Struthio camelus: one gene and its partner. The main gene of each other region encodes a partner of the protein of the gene in region 2 in a complex. Links are inferred from orthologs where the notes say so. Each region holds a gene or a part of one and is shown on either strand. Other genes may lie near its edges. The genes, in order: INTS12 and INTS2.

Evidence for each region.
Region 1: INTS2 (region 2) and INTS12 share a complex: the UniProt entries of both Homo sapiens proteins name them as parts of the integrator complex. The link is inferred for Struthio camelus from reciprocal best matches to the Homo sapiens genes INTS2 and INTS12.

Annotation. Positions count from the first base shown.
Region 1 is NC_090945.1:26,090,767-26,100,842, reverse strand, and holds the start of INTS12 (integrator complex subunit 12), read right to left. Parts: upstream 3,906-10,076; 5' UTR 3,663-3,905; intron 1-3,662. UniProt on the Homo sapiens protein: Component of the integrator complex, a multiprotein complex that terminates RNA polymerase II (Pol II) transcription in the promoter-proximal region of genes.
Region 2 is NC_090957.1:18,829,484-18,839,686, reverse strand, and holds the start of INTS2 (integrator complex subunit 2), read right to left. Parts: upstream 4,000-10,203; 5' UTR 3,904-3,999; coding exon 3,611-3,903; intron 3,487-3,610; coding exon 3,348-3,486; intron 2,633-3,347; coding exon 2,530-2,632; intron 2,274-2,529; coding exon 2,160-2,273; intron 1,466-2,159; coding exon 1,335-1,465; intron 1,226-1,334; coding exon 1,052-1,225; intron 536-1,051; coding exon 309-535; intron 1-308. Other genes in the region: MED13 (mediator of RNA polymerase II transcription subunit 13), read right to left, coding at 8,009-8,141, 8,895-8,995. UniProt on the Homo sapiens protein: Component of the integrator complex, a multiprotein complex that terminates RNA polymerase II (Pol II) transcription in the promoter-proximal region of genes.

The DNA of each region.
Region 1 (10,076 bases), on a different chromosome or scaffold from region 2:
CCTGCCCTCGGTAAATCCAAGCTGGCTATTCCCAGTCACCATCACCTCCTTCTTATGCCCAGAAATGCCTTCCCAGAGGACTTCTTCCATTATCCTCCCAGGGACGTAAAGCAGTGAGGCTGACCAACCTGTAGTTCCTTGGATTGTCCTTCTTGCCCTTTATGAAGACGGATGCAAGATTTGCCTTTCTACAGTCTCCGGGAATCTCCTCCAGTCTCCATGACCCTTCAAGAAGGGCAGAATGGGGTTTTGCAAAGATACTGTCAGCTCTCTTGGATCCCTTGAGTGCAGCTCATCTGGTCCCATGGTCTCGTACAGGTCACGTTTTCATGTCAGGCAATTCTTGCTTCAATCTTCTTCCACAACTGGTAGTTCCTCTTCACCCTGAGGCCTGCCTTGTGGCAAAAAGGCCTAGGAGACCTTGTCAGTGAAGTCTGAGACAAAGATGACACTGACTACCTCAACCTTATCTGCGTCTGCTGTCGCTAAATGACCTGTCCCATTCAGCAAGAGCACCACATTTTCCCAGTGTATCCTTTTCCTGATAATGCAGCAGCAGCAGCAGCTTGTCACCATTCACATCTTTTGCCAGGTTCAGCTCAAGTTTCCCTTTGGCTTCCTAATGCCATACCCACGTGCCCAGACAATATTCCTGTAGTCCTCCTTCGTAGCTTGTTTCTGCTTCTGCCTCCTGGATACGCCTGTTTTGCTTCAGAGTTCTGTCCCGAGCTCCCCAATTAGTCAATCCAATCCTCTGCTTTGCCTGCATGTTTTCCTAAGTATTGGGATGGACTGTTCCTGTGCTTGGAAGAGGACTGTCCTTAAATACCAGTTATCTCCCTGAGCTCCTTTGCCCTTCAGAGTTGTCTCCCATGGCATCTCACCTGCTGTTCCCTGAAGAAGTCAAAGTCTGCTCTCTTGAAGCACAGCTTTATTCTGCTACTCACCCTCCTCACTCCCCTCAGGAGCCTGAACTCCACTATTTCATAGTTACTACAGCCAAGGTTGCCATTGATTATCATGTTTCCAGTCAGTTCTTCCTTGCTCATGAACTGCAGATTCAGGAGACCACATCCCCAGGCTGGCCAATCCGTTGGTCCATACTGGTGTTAAGATGTTACTCTCAGCTCACCCTAAAAATCTCCTGGAGTGCTTGCATCCCACTGCACTGCCCTCCGAGCAAATAGTGGGGAGGGTCTGTGATGTGGACACTTCCTCAACTTACTTAAAGAAGAAATCATGCATCATTTTCTCTGGATCAAGTGGTCTATAACAGACTCCCACGATGTTGTCACCCTTACTGGCTCCTCCTCTGCTCCTGACCCACAAGTTCTCGTGGTGACTGTCCCCCATATTCCACCAAAGAGTTCCATGCATCCATGCTGCTCCTTCCCCCAACAGGCAACCCTACACACACTATTCTTCCTGCGCATCTTTCCCAGGCAGCCTGTCTCCGTGTATCACAGAACTCCAGTCGCGCAAGCCATCCCATCACATGTCAGTAACTGAATCGTTTCATAGGTCTGTGACCGCACATAGCCTGTTTCCTCAGCTGCCTATACTCAATTCAGGCTTTGCAGTCTCTGAAGCTGCCTTTGACTGAGCCACTTCCTCCCCCTCAGCTACCAGAGCACTGTATCTATTCTGTAAATGAAGATCCAGGGTGGAAGAGGGCATTTTGGTAACATTATAATTTTGTTAGTGGTTTAGTCATTTAAGTTACTTCAGAATTTGGATAGACTGAATGTAATTGACTTCACGTTTTTCTTTTCTAATCTGAGAATCTAGACAGTTCCTCAGCCTTTAATAAGTAAATCTAAAGCATGTATCTTCCTACCTTTAGATAATTTATTTTTTGTAAAAAAAAAAAAAAAATTGATTAAGAGGAAAATAATCCCATTTTTTCCTGCACTACCCTCAGCCTCTTGAGCTGGATTCTGCACAGCTTACTGGTCTAGCAAGTCAACATCTCTCTTGCCACCTTCCCAACCCTGATACAATACCATATTTGTTTTTTTATCCAGCTAATTGCTGTTCAAGTATAATTCCAGCCATCTTTAATATCAGATTTGATTTTTATTCACATTCTTTTCTTATGATCCACTATTTTTTTTCAGATAGCCACCTGAAATAAAGTGCACAGATAAAAGAGGATACAGACTTAATCCTGTGCATATCCCAGTCTAGTAAGACTCTTTGAGCCTAAAGTTCACAGAGAGAGATTATCCACCAGAGCTATCTGCAAAACAGTGGAAACTTAAAAGAAATATTCTATTTGATTAAAAAAATCAAAACAATTAATTTAAAAAACAAATATAAAAGAGGTGACAGAACAATAGCGTACAGAATTCACTTGGGATAGAGAAGATCCCCTGCGTCAACTCCTACTTATACATATAATTAATTCAAACATAAGTTTCTCACAGCCCTTTCGAGTGGTGTTATCCTAAGCCCATTTATTGTTCAAAAGCAAGTTAACACGTCTTTGGTTCCAAGTACAGGTTCTATGTTAGATTGGAATTCCACACATGATGTTTCATCAGTTACCCTTCTAAAAAAGGTTTTTGTTCTGATAAAGCTATGCTGCCACACAAATGGTTTTGTCAAAACCAAGTAAATGAGATAATCGTACCTATGCAACCGAGATTTGCTAACCCCTACTACCACAAAGCTTCAGAGCTCTGCAAAAATGGACCTAAAAACACTGTTTAAATAGGTGCCACTGCTTATTAGTTTAAATCACTAGCAAATTATTACCTCTCTTCATTATCTTTTTCACCCCTTCCTAGTTCAAATGATTTGCTTACTGAAACTCATTAGGTGTGCAAATGCCCTAGATATCATTTTCCTGGTGATTTCCAGGTGGAAGCTGCAAATTTTAGTCAAAACTGAATTTTTGGGTCAGTTACACCAAAGCCACAACCCCACACTCTGCAGCATATTTGCTGCAAGTTTCCCTTCTTATTTCCTTTAAGAATGAATAAAGGCTTCTTATTTAAAAACTCTTTTTTAAAGAAAATAAAAGCTCTCTATGCCTCCATATGCTGCAGTCCAAAAAAATAACTTACAATTTCGGCTGAAATGCATACGTCTTGTAAAATAGGGCATACATGAGCTCTATTTGCTTGGTCTGTTCCTTCCCGTCCCCAGCGGTGGCTCCGTGTGCTCTGTGCTATTGAGCTGAGCCCAGGGCAAGTCCCCACCACAAAGAAAGAGATGAACCCCTCTGCCTAATTACAGCGCTAACAACGCAATCAGCTGACACTAAACTCTAGTGCCTTGACTTGAACACCCAGCTAAGAGAGACTAAAGAGAGAGAGAAACACAGCTCAGAGTGCTACGACTAGAGGTGGAAAGCGTCTGCTAAACTCACTGCCCTGAGAAGAGCGGCCCGAAAGGCAGCTCCGGGGCTGGGGGCACCCTGCCACACCCGCTACCACCAGGATTGAACCGGTCCTGGAGCCCCGGCAACGAGCGCGCCGCTGCGGAGGAGGGGGGGGGGTGCAACTGCCCGCAACCGCTTCAAACTCTTTTCCAACCGCCATCGCCGACAGGGCCACCCCTCCCCCCACGCCGGCACCAGCCGCCCCTCGAGCCGCAGAGTAACGGTCAGAGGGGTCTCGTGCTCTCCCAGCCCCCTCACCAGGTGCCCTCTCCCTTACCTGCGGGCCGGCACGGCACGGCCGGGCACGAGCGAACGGGTGACTGAGGGCGTCCACCGAGACCACCACCACCACTACCTCCCGCCCGCCCCCCCGGCTCAGCCTCCAAGCCGCGTCCGTCGCCTTTCGCGTCCCCCCGCGCAACGAGAGCCCCGAGGCGGCGGGTTCCGGTCGTGCCCGCGTGGAGGAGGGAGGGAGGGAGGGAGGAAGACAACCGGAGCGGGCGCTCGCGCAGGAAGGGGCGGGGCCAGGGCGGAAGCGGCTGGGCGACGTGCGGGACAGGGTAAGCGGCCGTTGGCGCCCGCCTCGCGCGCCGGGCCCGGAGCCGTTGGGGATTGAGGGGGGGCGGTCTCCACGCGACCGTTACTGGCGGCGGGAAGAGGCCGGGGGTGGTGGCGACGGAGGGAGAACGGGCGCCGGGTATCGGCGCGCCGCCTTCGGCAGCCCGGCGTTTGCCGCCTCCTCCCCTCACGGCTCGCTGACCGCGAAGCGCGGCGCCTGCCCGTGCCCTCGTTGCCGTTAGCTTTCTGTTTCCTGAGCGAGGTTTGGCTGGAAACTGGCGGTCGAGGCGTTTATTGGTGAAGAGCACTAATAACTGATGAAGGAAAAGACACCTGTAGTCTTCCTCATCTGGCAGTTGGGGGACTCTTCTTTAAGCTTTTCTCCATCTGCCGCCCCCCCCCCCCAAACCACCAAAAAAAGCTGGAGTCTGGTTTTCAGTGATTCTCCGTGTCTGAACACTTGGTCTGCTTTTTCTGGACTGACAGACTGCTGAGTGAAGGTCGCAGTGCAGGCTTTATGTCATCGTTCCGCAAAGGAATTTTTACTCAGTGGCATTATTTTCTGCAATAATTGAACTTTAGTGTGCTGCCTTGCTAAGGTTTGTCTTGTATTCTTCATACTTTACTTTGCTGAAATACATATATTTTTTATTGGTATACTAGTCTGAAATTCAGATGCCTCTCTATTTCTCTCTGGTTTGAAAATCATACAGTTATTTGGATTCACTTGAGGATATAACGGTAGCCCTAAAGTTTACAAGCAAATTGGTCTGGTGAACAGACATCTAATTCAGATTTGCAAAGTTATCTCTCTTAAAGCACAAATACTGTTTTCTGTTAAGCTAAATATTTGTTAGAGGAAACTATGTCTTTAAATGACTTGCAACATCAAACACTTCACAAACATTACTGTCTCTATTTTAAAAAAACCTTTTGTTTTCCTATAGAATAATCAACAAATAAACAAGGTCCTTTTCAGGAACTAAAAGGAAGTGAATGTTTGTGTTTTGTGTGTGTGGGTTTTTTTAGTTTTTCATTTATATTTCCTGGAAACAGTTTTTTTTAAACACTTTTCTGTACTATATCACTAGCGTGATAGCTCAGTAAAACTAATTTAGCTGGAATTTAGTGCCTGTAGAGAGAGAAACAGAAATGGTAACAAACAATATTACTAGTGAAAAATAAGCATGATTAATAGATATTAAGCAGCTCAACATGATTGTTACACTAAATGTAGACAAAAAACTTTTTTCTTGTCTTTAAAGTATGTTGCAAATACTGTGATGTTTGTTATTTTTGTCCAGCTGACTTCTTCATTTCACAATATCAATAGCAGCTACTGTAAATATGAGTAATATAGCATACAAGTCCATCTCTTCCCACACTCTTCCTTCTCTAATTAAACTGTAAAACGTGTGGGAAGAGGCATTACCATCAAGACAGTGAACAATCTGATATCCTGTAAGTTTTGTTAGTGCTATGTTTTGTTTTATTGTGAATGTCTGGGTGTTTCTCTCTCAGTAAGCTGCCAGTGGATCCTTAAATTAACCACCTTTAACAGCAGGGTGGCAGTCATATACATACTTTCAAAGGAAAGGCTGTGCTTAAACACAGAAGTAAGATGTACCCTGCAGAGCCAAAATAGTGGGGAAAAACAACTAAATTTGAAGAAGGAGGGGGAAGGTAAAAACCCAGGCTTTATAAAGATCTGTGCTTAGGGATAGGCTGTTAGTATCTAAACTAAAAGATGGGAGTGGGTTGACATATGGTAGTGCAAGCGTGTACAGTTGGTTGAAGTGATTATGCAAGAAGGGCTTGAGTACATTTGCACAAGGGACAATTGAAAGAAACGCAGGTAAGTCATTTATAGATAGAACTCCCAGAGAGATTTATTTTGCTTTCTTTTCTGTAAAAGACTTGTTTGGAACAAAATTAACCTAGTTGTAGTTTATATTATATTTATAGACTGAACTTCAAAATCCACAAGGGAATCCCTTAAGGAAAATGTCAATTGCTCTAGGACACGTTCCCTGTGTGACATTGAGTTAAAAACTCCCCTTGTGCTTCAGCCTTTTCTCTTACATAACGGAAATTCAGGAACCTTTGTCCTTACGAGGCTATTGGGAGGCAAGTCCCAGTGATGAGGTAGCATTTTTTTTTTAACTTTATTGGTATACCTATCTGAAATTCTGATGTTATGATGATGAGGCATAAACATTTTTACAGTAACTAACTGTATAAATAAATCCAAATCAAATGTTCTGCTGCTCTATTGAAATAAGTGTGTTTATATAACGATTCACAGTCATTACAGAAGCACATTTTGTTTAAAAATGCTTTTAGAAGTTTTAGGGTTATTGGAAATTATCAGAAGTATAAAAGCAATAGCGTCAGTGCTGAAAAGCTCAGCGCAGAAAGCAGAGTGACATTTTTTGCCACTAGTCCTCCCTATCTTTTAGTCTGAAAAAGCCTGCCTGTTTTTTGGTCTTGATCTGAAAAGTACATAACTTACAACATCCACTTCTCTTCCAGTTTGCTAAGAAACTGCAAACTTTTCTCCAAAGCAGTGAAAGAACAAAATTTAAATTGACACAAAAGTTAAGGAAAAAAATACTAGTAAGCATCATATTCGATTAACCATTTTTAGTATATGGTTGCAATAAGGGGAGAAGATTCAGTGCTTCCTGTGGGAGCTAGTGAAGAGTTATTACTGTGATCTACTCATGAATGAGACAATAGATATCAGTGGTGTCTATGCAGTGTTGAACTGCATGTATGGATTAGGACAAACTTCAGAACTTGGGCTTTTCTAACAATGGTGACGCGTGCTGTTCTTTTATTTTAACCGTACACAGCAAAACTTGTTACCAGGGCAAAAGCCACGTTTCTGGTATTAGCTAATGTGGATGATGAAAACTTTGATGAGCTCTGAAGTATCTTTGTTGTAATATTTAAATAACAGTGCCTTTATCTTGATAATTCTAGAAAATGAAGTGATTAAATGGGGTAGAGGAAAATCTTTTATTTAAACCATTACCAGGAACAGAGGATAGGGACCCTTTGAACATAGCAGGTGGCTTTGCATTGGTCACTATCTGTCTGAGACTGGAAAAGAAAATTTCCTAAATAGATGCTTGAGGTAATGTTACCGAACTAACTTTTTGTGTCTAAAAGGTTTTTGATGTCTAGAGAAATAAGAGCAAGAGAAACCTGGATTAATCTAAATCTCCTAACTTAAAGATGAATTACAAACAAAAACCCGTAAGTTACCAAGCTAGGTTTATCATTTGACAGTTGCACAGACTATGGAACTTAGAGGTCAGAAATTACACTGCCCATCTCGAGGTAACTGTTTGTGAAAAGTAAAGGCAAGAGAACTTTTAGTACTGCTTTCTGAAGTTGAAAGTGTATTAGAGAGGGACACCTGCATTTATAATTCAGAGATAGGTAAAAGGTGACTTACAAAAGGTTTCCTCAACTGTTGAGCTCTAGCTGTTTTTCTAATTGCTTCCTTTGTGGGGTAACACCTGCAGAATTTATGAGATGCAGTGCAGGTGGAGAAAGAGCAGGAGGCAAAATGGTCCTTTTTAAGGGGCTGGATGTGTGGAAGAAAAGGGAGGGAAATCATCAGCTATACTTGATGCAGTTCTGGGAAAGTGAGAGGAAAAAGATCTAGATGATAAAATGATTGTGAGTTCACAAGCTGCGAGTTCAAGAGATAGGAGAATAAGTGTTAAATACATGCAATATCCTTGGGACTATATAGGAAAAAAAATCCCAGTGTTTCTTTGTGAAGATGAATGATCTCATAAGATAGAAACAGAATAGTAGAATACGAGAATGAAATAAATAATTTTCTGTGTGTAATGTGTTCAGAGTGAAATGATGCATATGTGGCTTTTGTGTAGCTTGAAATGGTAAAAGAGGCAGGGTCTGATTGTGATTATAATAGCATAAGAATGAAGTACTCTTTCTGCCAGTGAGGATAATATTCCATGGACTAGCTGTTCAAGCCTCAAGCCACTTTCAACTATTTCAGGAGACCTCTGGGCCTGAAACGGAGTAGAAAGGAGAGAGTCGCTACGAGTTGTGCTTGTAGTTGCAGCTTCCTTATTTCTTACGGTTGTCGCTCTCTTTGGACCTTTCCAGGTGCAGACTTGGGAGACTGAGTCGCAGATCAACAGCTACTTTAATTGTTATGTAGTCTAATCTTGTTCTGAGGAGGAGTACGCTACGTAGATAAGTACCTTCAGCAGTGAAATGTTGAAAAATTGCTATTTTCAGTTAGATGAAACAAAGAAGTGAAGAGTTAAGTGCGAGTATTGGGAAGAGAAAAGTGAAGCAAGCCTCAACAAATTGACAAGTGAATCTTAACCCTCATAAAATCAATAGGCAGAGTTTTAAAAAGACTTAGTTTCAGAGTTTTAAAAACACTTAGTTTGACATTTAAGCCTGAGTTCTTATGAATTTGGTGTGCTTGTTCAGGCTTCCTTGGAATTTACATGCAAATTGTTTGACAGCTGTGAAAGAGAAGTGTTCCTAGACCACTATGCTGGGAAGAGCAAAGGAGGAGGGAAACAGCTGGAGGGTGCAAACCGAAGCTTCGAGCCCAACGTTTTCTCTGTGTCCCTGCTGAGTGAAGCTCATCACTTCATCCCTGGGAGGGTAGCTGCAGAAACAGAAAAGTGTTATTGTCCTAAATGGACCCTAATTAAGAACATAATTTGTTCCACTCCACAGAATAGGTTTAATAATTCAGATCTAAATTAACTTTCTCAGCAGCAGAACAGGGAGTGCAGTTCTGAGAAACGACCTTCATTGTAGTACTGCTAATCTGAGAAGAGAAAGGGACGTTGGTTTAAAAAAAAAAAAAAGAGAGACTGGGACTATAGCTGAAAATAATGGAACTTTATATTGCAATTATGTCTCCAAGTCAGACTTCTCAAGTACTTGCAGGATCAGGGCCTTTTAGTTGAGAGACATCTGATTGCCTATAGGAATCAAAATGAAAAGGTATCATGGCACTACTGGAGAGAGTCCAGCGGACGGCTGCAAAGATGATCAGGGGACTGGAGCATCTCTCCTATGAAGAAAGACTGCAAGAGCTGGGCCTGTTCAGCCTGGAGAAGAGAAGATTGAGGCGATCTCATAAACGTGTACAAGTATCTGAAGGGGGAGTGTCAAGAGGATGAGGCCAGCCTCTTCTCCGTGGTGCCCAGCGACAGGACAAGAGGCAATGGGCAGAAACTGAACCACAGGCAGTTCCATCTGAGCATGAGAAAAAACTTCTTCACTGTGAGGGTGACAGAGCACTGGAACAGGTTGCCCAGAGAGGTAGTGGAGTCTCCTTCGCTGGAGAGATTCAAAACCCGTCTGGATGTGATCCTGGGCAATATGCTCTAGGTGACCCTGCTTGAGCAGGGAGGTTGGACTAGATGATCTCCAGAGGTCCCTTCCAACCTAAACCATTCTGTGATTCTGTATCATATAAATGATGAAATGACAAGTTGGTTTGTGAGGGTCTGGAAATCATTTGAGTGTGTAAGTCCTTATTCTCAAATTTAGGGCCTGGTCTTGTGAAATGATTAATGTTCTTAACTCCTTTTGAAAACAAAAGAAATGAGACATTTGTATCTATCATGAAGAGAGCTAGAGTTTACTTCCTGCTCTGGAGCTTACTGTGCTTCAGGTATAACATATTACATTTGTTTGCATTTTTTCATAAATTACCAGTTTACTCTTGGTTTGTAATTAGTTCAGAATAAATGACTGGAATGATTAATTATTGCTGTATTGTTACTGTTGCATTTTATTTATGTGATTCCTTAAAAGGAAGTTGTCATAATATTGACCATCTTAATCTTTGACTTTCTTCTTCCTCCTCCCATGTGTGGAGAGTCTAGCTAACTGAAACAGCTATCTTGGCTTAAAAATACTACATATGAAAACATGATCTAAAAAGTTTTGAATGCTTTTAAAAAAAATGGTATAACTAATGAAAGTTTTATAAATGAGTGGTATGTAAAGCTCTCTGTTTCCCTGGATAAATACAGCTTTAACAGATGCACAAAGCCTAGCTAAAGGAGAATCTAGCTTTTGGAAAAAATACCGTTATCTCCAACTAGAAGAAACT
Region 2 (10,203 bases):
AAATAAAAAGCTTTTCTGATAAGAGTAGTACTGGAAAGCAAAAAAACATACCTCTCTCTGCATAGTTACATAGTATTTGCTCTCTCTACACTACAGCGATAAAGAAACTTTAATCAGCTGGCAATTCCAGCCCTGGGCACACGAGAAGTGTCTCCCTCAGCACTAAAAATGGCACATCCTGCCAATAACGGCTCAAGGACACAATGACATTAGGAGAGAGCTTACGTTAAAATTGCCCAAAGATCCCAACCTCTGTTTAAATTGGACAGACAGCGAAAAAAAACATAGAGCATTAAAACATTCATTACTTCAGCCCAGCAATTCCCATCAAAGCGCAATAGAGACGTAACAATGCGCTGGCTTTCACAACATGTTCTTCCTTCAGTCCCGAGTACACAGACACATTTGGCTCCATATCAACATCTGCTTCTTCAACAATGTGTGTGCTGCGAACCGTGGGAAGGATTCCCATGAGCTCCAGGAGCAGCTGCCTTCTCATTTGCCAAAGCACAGAACTGATATTATCTCTTTTTCTCTGAGAGGTTAAAAGATGAAAACAACAATATAAACCTCATGTCATCAGACGTTTTATTACATAAAAGCTTCCATAATGACAAAGACAAGAAAAAAAGAATGGGGAGGGGGGGCATTTTTTAATAAAATTTTCAGTACCAGGGTAACAGGTAACACACGATCATGTTACAATGGTTTATTTCAATGAAACACAAGCTTTAAGCAAGTCAAGACACAATTTTCCCTTGCAAATACTGAGCACAAACACATATACCAGCTAAACATTACTGATTTATGATTCCCTCGTTTCCATGGCTATTGGATCACGTACCTAAAAATCTCTCAGAGGAACAATGACATAGCTGTCTTCAGTAATACTATGTAGAGATCTGATGGTCCCATTTGCCTTGTAAAGGCTGTGGCAAGAAGCAACATAGGAGCTATGCACTTTCAGACAAATGTGCACGCCCACATCCAGACAAGTTACAGCAGCTTACAAAAATAGTTTTTGAAAGCGAATATTCAAAAGCGTACCTACCTGTTGGCCATTTCGGATAAAAGTTCCAAACCAAGTCCGAACCTTAGCATTTGTTCCAAGTAGCAAACCACTCACAAAACACACCAGATCGCTCACTCCATCATCTGAAGATTCATTTTTGGTGTGATCCAGGGTCAAAGCAACACCAAGACCTGGTAGATGACACTCTTCCACCTAGACAAAATAGCCGAGCTCAATCTTTTTTTTTTGTTTTTTAATGCTCCAATAAGGATCACAATTATGATTTGCGTGTTGTCTCGTGATAGAACAATTACAGACTTACCACCATGCCTCTGACCCTTAAAGCTTGGGAAGGGTTCATTTTACACAGGTGACGAAGTGCTTCTGTTCTACGACGGCCTCCAACACTTTCCTCATCCTGCCGCTCGCCGTTCTTAATCAAACCTCTACAGACTAAACATTCGAGAGGAGGTCTAAGTAAATCTGGCCTTTCCAGCAGAAAGCCACGTAAACATATAAACACAAGACGAGCCCTTTCATTCAGCGGACTGTGATTTATTAACTGAGCCACACGAACCTTGTGCCAGGGAAGAACTGTTGATCAACGCTGTATCAGTAGAATAAGGAAACGGTGTTTCTCCTCAGAGAAATTATAGGGTCATTACAGATTTAGGCATCATTCAATTACTGCTCATACTCTGTCTAACGCAACCTGTGCACCTGGCAGCCCTGCAGACTGAAGTCTTCTTGCTACATAAGTGATAATAAATGGGCAACGGCAGTATGAATTTTTCACCTCATAACATGCCTCGCTCTGAGAGACAAGGACAATTAGCAAGGACAGACCAGGTTCCTAGACCCAATCATTCACTGTCTGAATCAGCCTTTATAAAGGTGACCTACAGATGAAAAACTGCAACAGGCACACAATGAGTCTGAAGTACGCTGCAGAAATAGGTAGTGAATGCGATGAGAACGAGAGGCCTTTCAGCATCTCTAAGTATAAATGCATCCAAAGTGCATTTCACAAGCCAAGCGCTCCTCAGTTCAAATATTTATGCTGCTTAGCCTAGAATCAATTTGATTGCTGGAAATTATTTCAAAGCTTTACAAAAAGAAAGCTTGGCAAGAAGAAACTGTAACTCACCCTCGTTAAAACTATCGGGAACATTGGCCACTAGGAGGCACAGGAACCAGGCTCCATTTTTAACGTGCAACAGAGCTTCAGCTACATCAACTATGGGCAACAGCGATGGCAGCTCTGGATAAAAAGAGGATCTCATAAGTCACTGTAAAACAGTAGCTTTTAATATAAATTTATGTAACGTGCTCAAGTTAACGAATGAAAGATTACTCTTTGGTCTATTCCTCTTCCAAAGAGCTAGACATCCAACATTAATCTTAATTCAGCTAGGAGAGCTCCAAAAGTTAGGGTAATTTTTTTTTTACGTTTGTAAGTAGCGAAGTCACAAGCAAAACAGCATTAAGGAAAGCACTATAAATACAGAGCACTACACCTGCTTGCAGAATGCAGAGAACATCTGCTGCTTCCTCCAGATAGACAGGACTCTCGAAGAGCTCGGACGATTTGAGAAAAAACTCACCGTTTGATTCTGACACCTATAAGACAACGTTCATCATCACAGAACAGGTTTCATGAAGTGATTTGTATAACTCAATCAGCACCTGTCAGACTTTCAGAGCTTTGAATTCAACAGATTGAACGTATTAAAAACTGTCAAAAATGTACAGCTATAAACAGAACAGGCAAGCAAAAATGCTTAGAACAAGCAATATTTACTAGTAAAGATAATTAAACACCGCTGGTATCGTTGCTTCTTTCCGGAAAACAGAAAAACAGCTTACTAAGAAGTCTATAAACAGGGTAAGTTTAACAGAAGAACATAAAACACAGAGAAAAGTGAGAAACGTGGTGGTGCATATTACTGCAATAGCAGTAAAAAAAAAAAAAAAAAGGACAGAAGGAAAAGCTACAACATCATCCTGAAACATGATTTCTGCTCTTATAAGCCATCGCATTGTATTTAAGTGCAGCATGTTATAGAACGTACAGAGCCTGTTAAGAAAAGATTGCCCTCCTTGCCGGGAGGAAGAAAGACTTTCTCTGGGAAGCTGGGTTCACGAGGAGTTTACGTGACAGAGTTTAAGTCTCGGCGAAGCAGCTACGGACCGGAGAACGGCCCTGACACGCACCGGCAGCACCAGCAACGCAACCTGGCGTTATTTCAGCACATCCCGCCTGCAGCTTTCTGGTTCTTCGCTTTCAGGGATATAAAATTCACAAACGCCGAGCGACGGGGAAGCGAAATTTTACCTTATTCATAATTGCTAGTAATTCACTAAGCACAAGACGAAGCCGACGAGGCGAATCACTGTGCTCAAACTCCAGCGTCAGACCGTGCTGGAGCTGCGACACCAAGACGCTCTCTCCACTGCCTCCTCCCAGCTTGTGTCTAACAGACAACGGAAACGCAACGACAACCGTTAAAGAACAAACAAACGAGCCCGACGAGCACAGACACCTCCTCAGCTAAAGGCAGACCGCAATTCCCGGGGCAGCGCCCGCCGCGCCGTTACCGCAGCTGCTGCTCCTTGCTGGCGTCCTGCTCCAGGGCGTGGAAGTCCACCGAGAGCAAGGCCACGATGGAGTTGACGGCCTCCACGCCCGAGAGGAGCCGCAGGATGAGCTTCTTGTCCTGCGCCCAGCGCTGGCTCTGGTCGGCGGGGGCGCACAGCGCCATGCGCACCAGGCAGGGCAGCAGCAGCCGCAGCTCGGGGTCGCTCAGCGCCGCCAGCCGCACCACGTCCACCTTCTGCATGGCCTCGAAGGCGTAGGGGCTCACGAACTGCAGGCCGGAGCACTCCGCCATGGCGGCGCCCGGCCCCGCGGCGGCGACCGGCCACGCTCCACGGCCGCCGGCCACCGCCGCCTTCCGGCGCGCGCCGCCCGCGTCACCGCCGGAAGTGAGGTCGGCCCCGCGGCGGGCGGCCGTTGGGCGGCCGGGTGCGCGCGCGCGCGCCGCCGGCGGGAAGGCCGCTCTGAAGGGAGGGGGGAGGGGACGGCGCCCCCCCCCTCCCCCGGACGTCTGCTCGGCCCCCGCCGTAAATAAAGAGACAGCGCAAGCAAGGCTTCATGAATAATTTATTCCATTTGAAATTTTTTTTTAAAAAGTATAAACCTTTTCTCTCTCTCTCTCTCTCTCTCCATTTCCTCAATCACAATTTGTACAACTCAGCGTTTATGGCATTCGGCAGCAATAGCGTTTGTTCCTCAGTCACGTTTTGTCACGATAAAGGCGACGGCTCGGACCAGTAACCGTCAGCGCCGTGTGCGAACTTAAGAAGGGCCCCGGTAACGCGACCCGGCTGCGGGGGGGCGCGTCCAGGACCGAGGCGACAGGCTGCAGCCGGCTCCGCCAGCTCCTGACATCCAGTTTACTCGGGAACAGCGAGAGCTAGACGAGTAACTTCCTGAAAAGTGACCCTGAGGATTATGGTAGGTCCCAAATCCAGTTTTGCTGTAAATTTAAGTTTTACTCCGCTAAAAAAACAGGATGTACAGCGCCCACAGCGCCCCCACCACTCTTCCTCCCCCCACACCACCACCCCGGAATAGTCCTGGATCCTTTTAATTAAGGACAAAAAAAACCTTCCCCAGTGCAGGTTGTCAAGACAGTAGTGTCATACGCTATCACCTAATTCAGAAAACAAATTCTCAAAAGAAACCCAGTCCAAACATTGTTTATGCAGCATTACTATTAAAACAGACTGATATGCTGTGCCATACCGTTACGCAGCAAATTATATGATGCAATAGCATTTTAAAAACATTTTACTCTTATTTTTGAAAGCTTTAAAATAGTGTAACATATTTTGATATTACAGTATTAACAAATAGTGCTTGAATAAAGACATCTGCAAGTCTTCATAGCAACACATGAAGTTAAAAATTACCATAGGAGGTAAATACAGAAATACAGTAACCTGCGCCATACTGACAGCTAAGTAAGAACATAGCTGAGGATTTAAATATAAATTCATTTATTTTTACTTATTTCCGGAAACGTTAGGAAGATTAACATGTTACAGCTACTTTAAAATTTGAGGGTTGTTTGCAAGTACAGTTGGTGGCCTGCCAGTCTAGCAACAATGCTTACAGAAACCTAATTCAAATAACAGTATAAGTCACAGTCCAGATGACTGCATGGCTTAAGCACAGTATAACTAAATTAAAATACTTTTTTTTTTTTTTTTTTAAATCTGAACTGAAGGATCTCAGATGCATCTTTCACTGGCTATCTAACATACGTAAGTAGCTGTATAAGTTTATTTCCTCTTAATAGAGCACTGCCAGGAACAATGTTTTCTTGCAAAACCATTTTGAGAAGCTAGGGCTGAAATGTTCAAATACATTAAGCTTGTACTTGCTAAACAACCCTAATTATTGGATTGTGACAATTTTATTCATAAATCACTAATTATGTGCCCTTAAAAGAGGAAAATGGCTAAGTGAATGAAACCAACAAAAAAGCACGCCCAATGTAGTAGCTGGCTCCATGGGGATGGCAGTTTTGATATGCACATTGCTGGCTGTGACCATCACTTCCAAAAATGGCCCTCCTGATCTTTTCTAGTGGTTACAATATGACAGTTTACTTAAACTGCATTTGGGGACATGGGGAGGGGGGAGGGGAGAGGCAGACTTCACAGTTGGAGTTTCACAGGGAAGGTTGTGGTCCAGATAACAGAGTACAGTTATACCAATGCTCAGGCAGCCGATTCACTTACCTTTATGGATACAAGTCAGATTTAACAAAACGAAACAAAAAAGACACGTGCTCTGAAAACTCCAGTTTTAGATGCACTTTTCCCCTTAATCTCAGCCAAATGAGAAAGAAAACACCTGCTCTAAAACAGAAGTGTGCTGTTTAATCTGCAGTACATTATCATTATATCAAGAAAAAGTAATGGACAGACCCAGGTTTTTACCTTTAATATCAAAATATGCTGACTTCTGATTGCACTCATGTTTTTTCTGAAGAAACTACTGAAAATTTTTGTCACCAATTGTACAACTTCTTTATACAAAAACAAAAAAAGTCGCTAATTTTGCATATACACAATTCAAGGAAAAATGATCTCAGGCAAATATTTTGCATTTACAAAACATAATTTTCACCAACATAATAAGTTTTGTAAATACAAGTGATTTCTTCGTTGTAGAGGATTAACAGTGGGTGCCCCAATGTATCTTAAAACTTGCTCCTTTCAAGATTTAAGCAGGCAAGATGAACAGTACTGAGACCCAGGTGATAAACTAGCATGGGTTCTCTCAACAGGCTCACGTGGGCACTGCAGGAGTAAGTCTTTACCCTGGCAGTCAGAAGATGAGGAACCAAAGGAAAAAAAAAAAAAATGCTGTTGCTCCTCAGCACCCGTAGGGGCCATTTTAGAGCAGCATCAGACATTTGGCATGTGCTGAGAGAATGGAAGGAAACTACTGAGGAAAAAGGGCGACTGTAGATAGAGGGAGAGGTTTACAAAAGCCTTATAACTCACGAGACCCTTCCTTAGGGAGGGCTAAGCCTCCTTGGCACATGCCCCAGCCGGAGTCTGAAAAGGGGATAAGGGGAAGGCCATGCACTGATACTCGAGACCTTCACCTCCGTGCCAAAATACATGAAAAAGGAAAACATTCAGGGTTGTGTTTTGCTTTTTACTAGTGGAATAAAGTCTGAATACCAGAATTCACTGAGAATCTATATACACCACATTTTAGTTAAACACACACCAATCTTAAAGTCAAGATTGACTATTTTTTTCATTTGTAAAATGGCTAGAGCTGGGCTAAATTTCAGCCTTGCAGGAGACTTTGGATAAGGTCAGAGTTTTCTGTGTCTGTGTGTTCCGACTCAGATTTGTGTTTTGCCACAAACGTGAAAGAAAATAGTGCAGTCACCACGGTGCCAAGAATATCCAGGTAACAACAATGCACAATAGATATCCTTGCAATAGTAAAACTTGTCTACTGGAAACAGATCTGAGAATCTAGCCACAGCCCTGAACCATAACACAAACTTCAGTTGAAGAGTTTATTCATTTTATTCTCACTACAAGTTAAACCACCTACAATATCACTTATATATTGCCATTGTTACTCTGTAAAGGTGTGATATAAAATGCTGTAAGACCCGGTACCTTTTCAATTTTATATAAACACAGTGAACTTCATTACTGTACATGTACTCTGCAACTACAGCTTAGCTGTAAATCCCCCACACACAATGGTATGGACATTAACCCCTCTATCCCCATTAAACTGTACATCAAGACAATACAAATTTACTGTCCCCACCCACCCCCTTACAAAAAAATAATACTCTAAAAGCAACCTACTGCAACTTTTAATTAAGACGATTACATATATTTTAGACCAATTGCTTTAAAGCAAGAAGGCAGTATAAACCTTCTAGGAAAATTTTTATAAAAGAGGTTAAGAAATATAAGACAATTTATACATTTAAAAACTTACAATAAATAAGAGATGCAGGCATTTTTTGAATACTAGGTACTATAATCCAATACAAGAACATCTTGATGTTCTGAAGCCATAGGTTGAAACTTATTGTTCCTCCTGTTTCTTCTCATCTCCATGCTTTAAAATTCATTAACCATGACTGGGTACTATGGCTCATTACTCTTCACAAATACTGTGACTGGGGAAAAATGGTTAATTTTGCTACTAAAAATGTTATAATACACATTCTGATCATCATTCTAAAGAGTCCCCCAGAGTCATTGCATCAAAGACAGTAGGGTTATAGATGCCCTTCTCACAAGCCAAAGCAATATTTGCTGGAAGTAACAAGATTCATACCCCATCACAAACAACTTGCACTGAGAAGAATTTATAACTTAGTCCTGCAGTGAAATATCCCTTTTCCTCATTCTTGTCTTTCAAAATTCAGATGAAGATCACAGCATATTCATGATAAAGTTATACAACTGATTCAGCACCACAAAATGAACTGGGAGACATGACCGTCTGTCCTGGGTTGCAGGATCACAGGTTAGCCAGGAGAGTGCATTGTACTGTTCCAGAACAAACCTAGAAAGCAAACAAGCTTCCATCAAGCCAACAGATTTTCCCACCACTGTTTTCAAGAAGGCATTTTATAGTCCTAATTTAATAAAAATCCAGTTTCTTTAGTACTGAACACACAAAATAGTTTTGCCAACATTCTGAAATAACATGCTCTCAGAACTATTACAGCAGGTCAAAGCTAAACCTTTTTTTTATTCTCAGTGAAAAACTGCCATTTTAATTGTTGATGCTTAACTAATATCAGGAGACTTGCATATGAAAATAAAAATCTAGAGACGTCCGACTTTTTCCTCATCAACACGTGTCCCATTTTTTCATGGGTCTACTCTTTTCTGCTTCAGCACTTCACTGTTCCCACAACCCATGCAAGATTCTGGCTTAACAACTTCATCTATAATCTTCTTCCATTCGTTTATGCACCATCTTCGATGTTACACCTCAAACTCCCTTCTAGCTGGAGGAATTCATTGTCTTTCAAATATTTTCAGTTGTAATCAACATTAGTTTAAAAAGGGCTTTGAGATGTTTTAGGGTTTTTCTTTTTTCTTTTTTTTTTAATTGCACTGGGATAAAGCCATCTTTTAATCACTCAAAGCACAGTAATTTACAATGTGTCTATGTGAAGTACTTAAGTATTTATCAGCAGCACAAAAAAGAAAACTTAATAGCAAGAAAAATAAATAAATATGTAACTTTACAACAGCAGTATGAAAAATGACATGCAGAATATTTTTGTAAGTGATCAATCATAAATACCTGAGCACATCAGAAGTTTGATTAGAATCAAGTGGATGGGAGTGTTTACTGTGGAGTAGCTCGTCTGATTGCACTGAAGGCACGTGGAGGTGCAAAGAGGCCTAAGAAAGGAAGAGGAAACGCTAGCAGTTACTACTTGATTCTACTACAACATACTTTTCCCCCTATATTGTTGGTCTGTACCTTTCAGCCACTTTCTATTGTGTGACACGCAAGCCAAACCATGTTTTAACCTTATACAGTTAACAAGCACCGGAATTATCAGAATATGAGGAAATGCACTCATAAAAGCAGAGTGCTAATAGCATAACATATCTTAGGAAACATTTATTTTTAAATCCCTTTGCCTACATTAAGTGATTATTTAAAAATAAATTAAAAAGTGACCCAAGTGGCCCAAGATTTCTAGTAATATATGAACTTTAAAGTTCAGTTGCTTTCCATAAGACCAGTCTATTTACATTCCATAAATAGAGCTACTTAAGCTAAATAATAAATCTTCCTTAAAAAAAAAAAAAAGAAAAAAAAAGAAAAAAAAGTCCTATACCAAAAACACAGTTGAGCTTAGGCCAAGAGGCACCACTAATCCAGACACAAATAAGGCTGAAGAAAGTAGATCAGTATCGTTAGATAACATAGTATTAGAGATGTTACATTAAGTCAAGAATTAATAATGCCAATGCGCAAAGTTTCTCTGTATACTAATGTACAGCTTTAAGTTTGCCAACTCTGCCTTGATTGTACCATAAAAAGATAAGGAGATCAGACAATATGCAGACAGATGGGGGCAATGACTATCACTTGGAAACAACCAACATTGAAAATCTAGCTTTTATGCTTTAATGCAATACATAAACAGAGATTATTTTTACCCAGTGTAAATGTGATATTACATTATACTTGTGTACTTCCTCTACCATCAGTTCCAAAGGGAGTCAAACATTAACCAGTGAGTTTCTGGCCAGAAAGGCAAGAGAACACCTATCCTTACGAAATACCACAGCATAAAGCCGGTAAGAAAAAGGAGACCAGGCTACTACGAAGAAATCATCAGAAGGAGCAGAACCCATTAGAGCATTTGCTACTTCAGCTAATAACGTTTCTCCACTTTAAAAGTGACTATAAAAAGCCTTTGGCTCAAAAATTTAAAACCCAACTTCTCTATTAAAGCAAAAACACGCATATTCTGAGGGACATGTACCAAATTTGTTTTAAACATAATGATGACCTAATTCTCATTATTCAGATCCTTGCACACCACACAATTATCTATTTCACACTGTCCAGGAAGATGTTTGTTGTACAGACT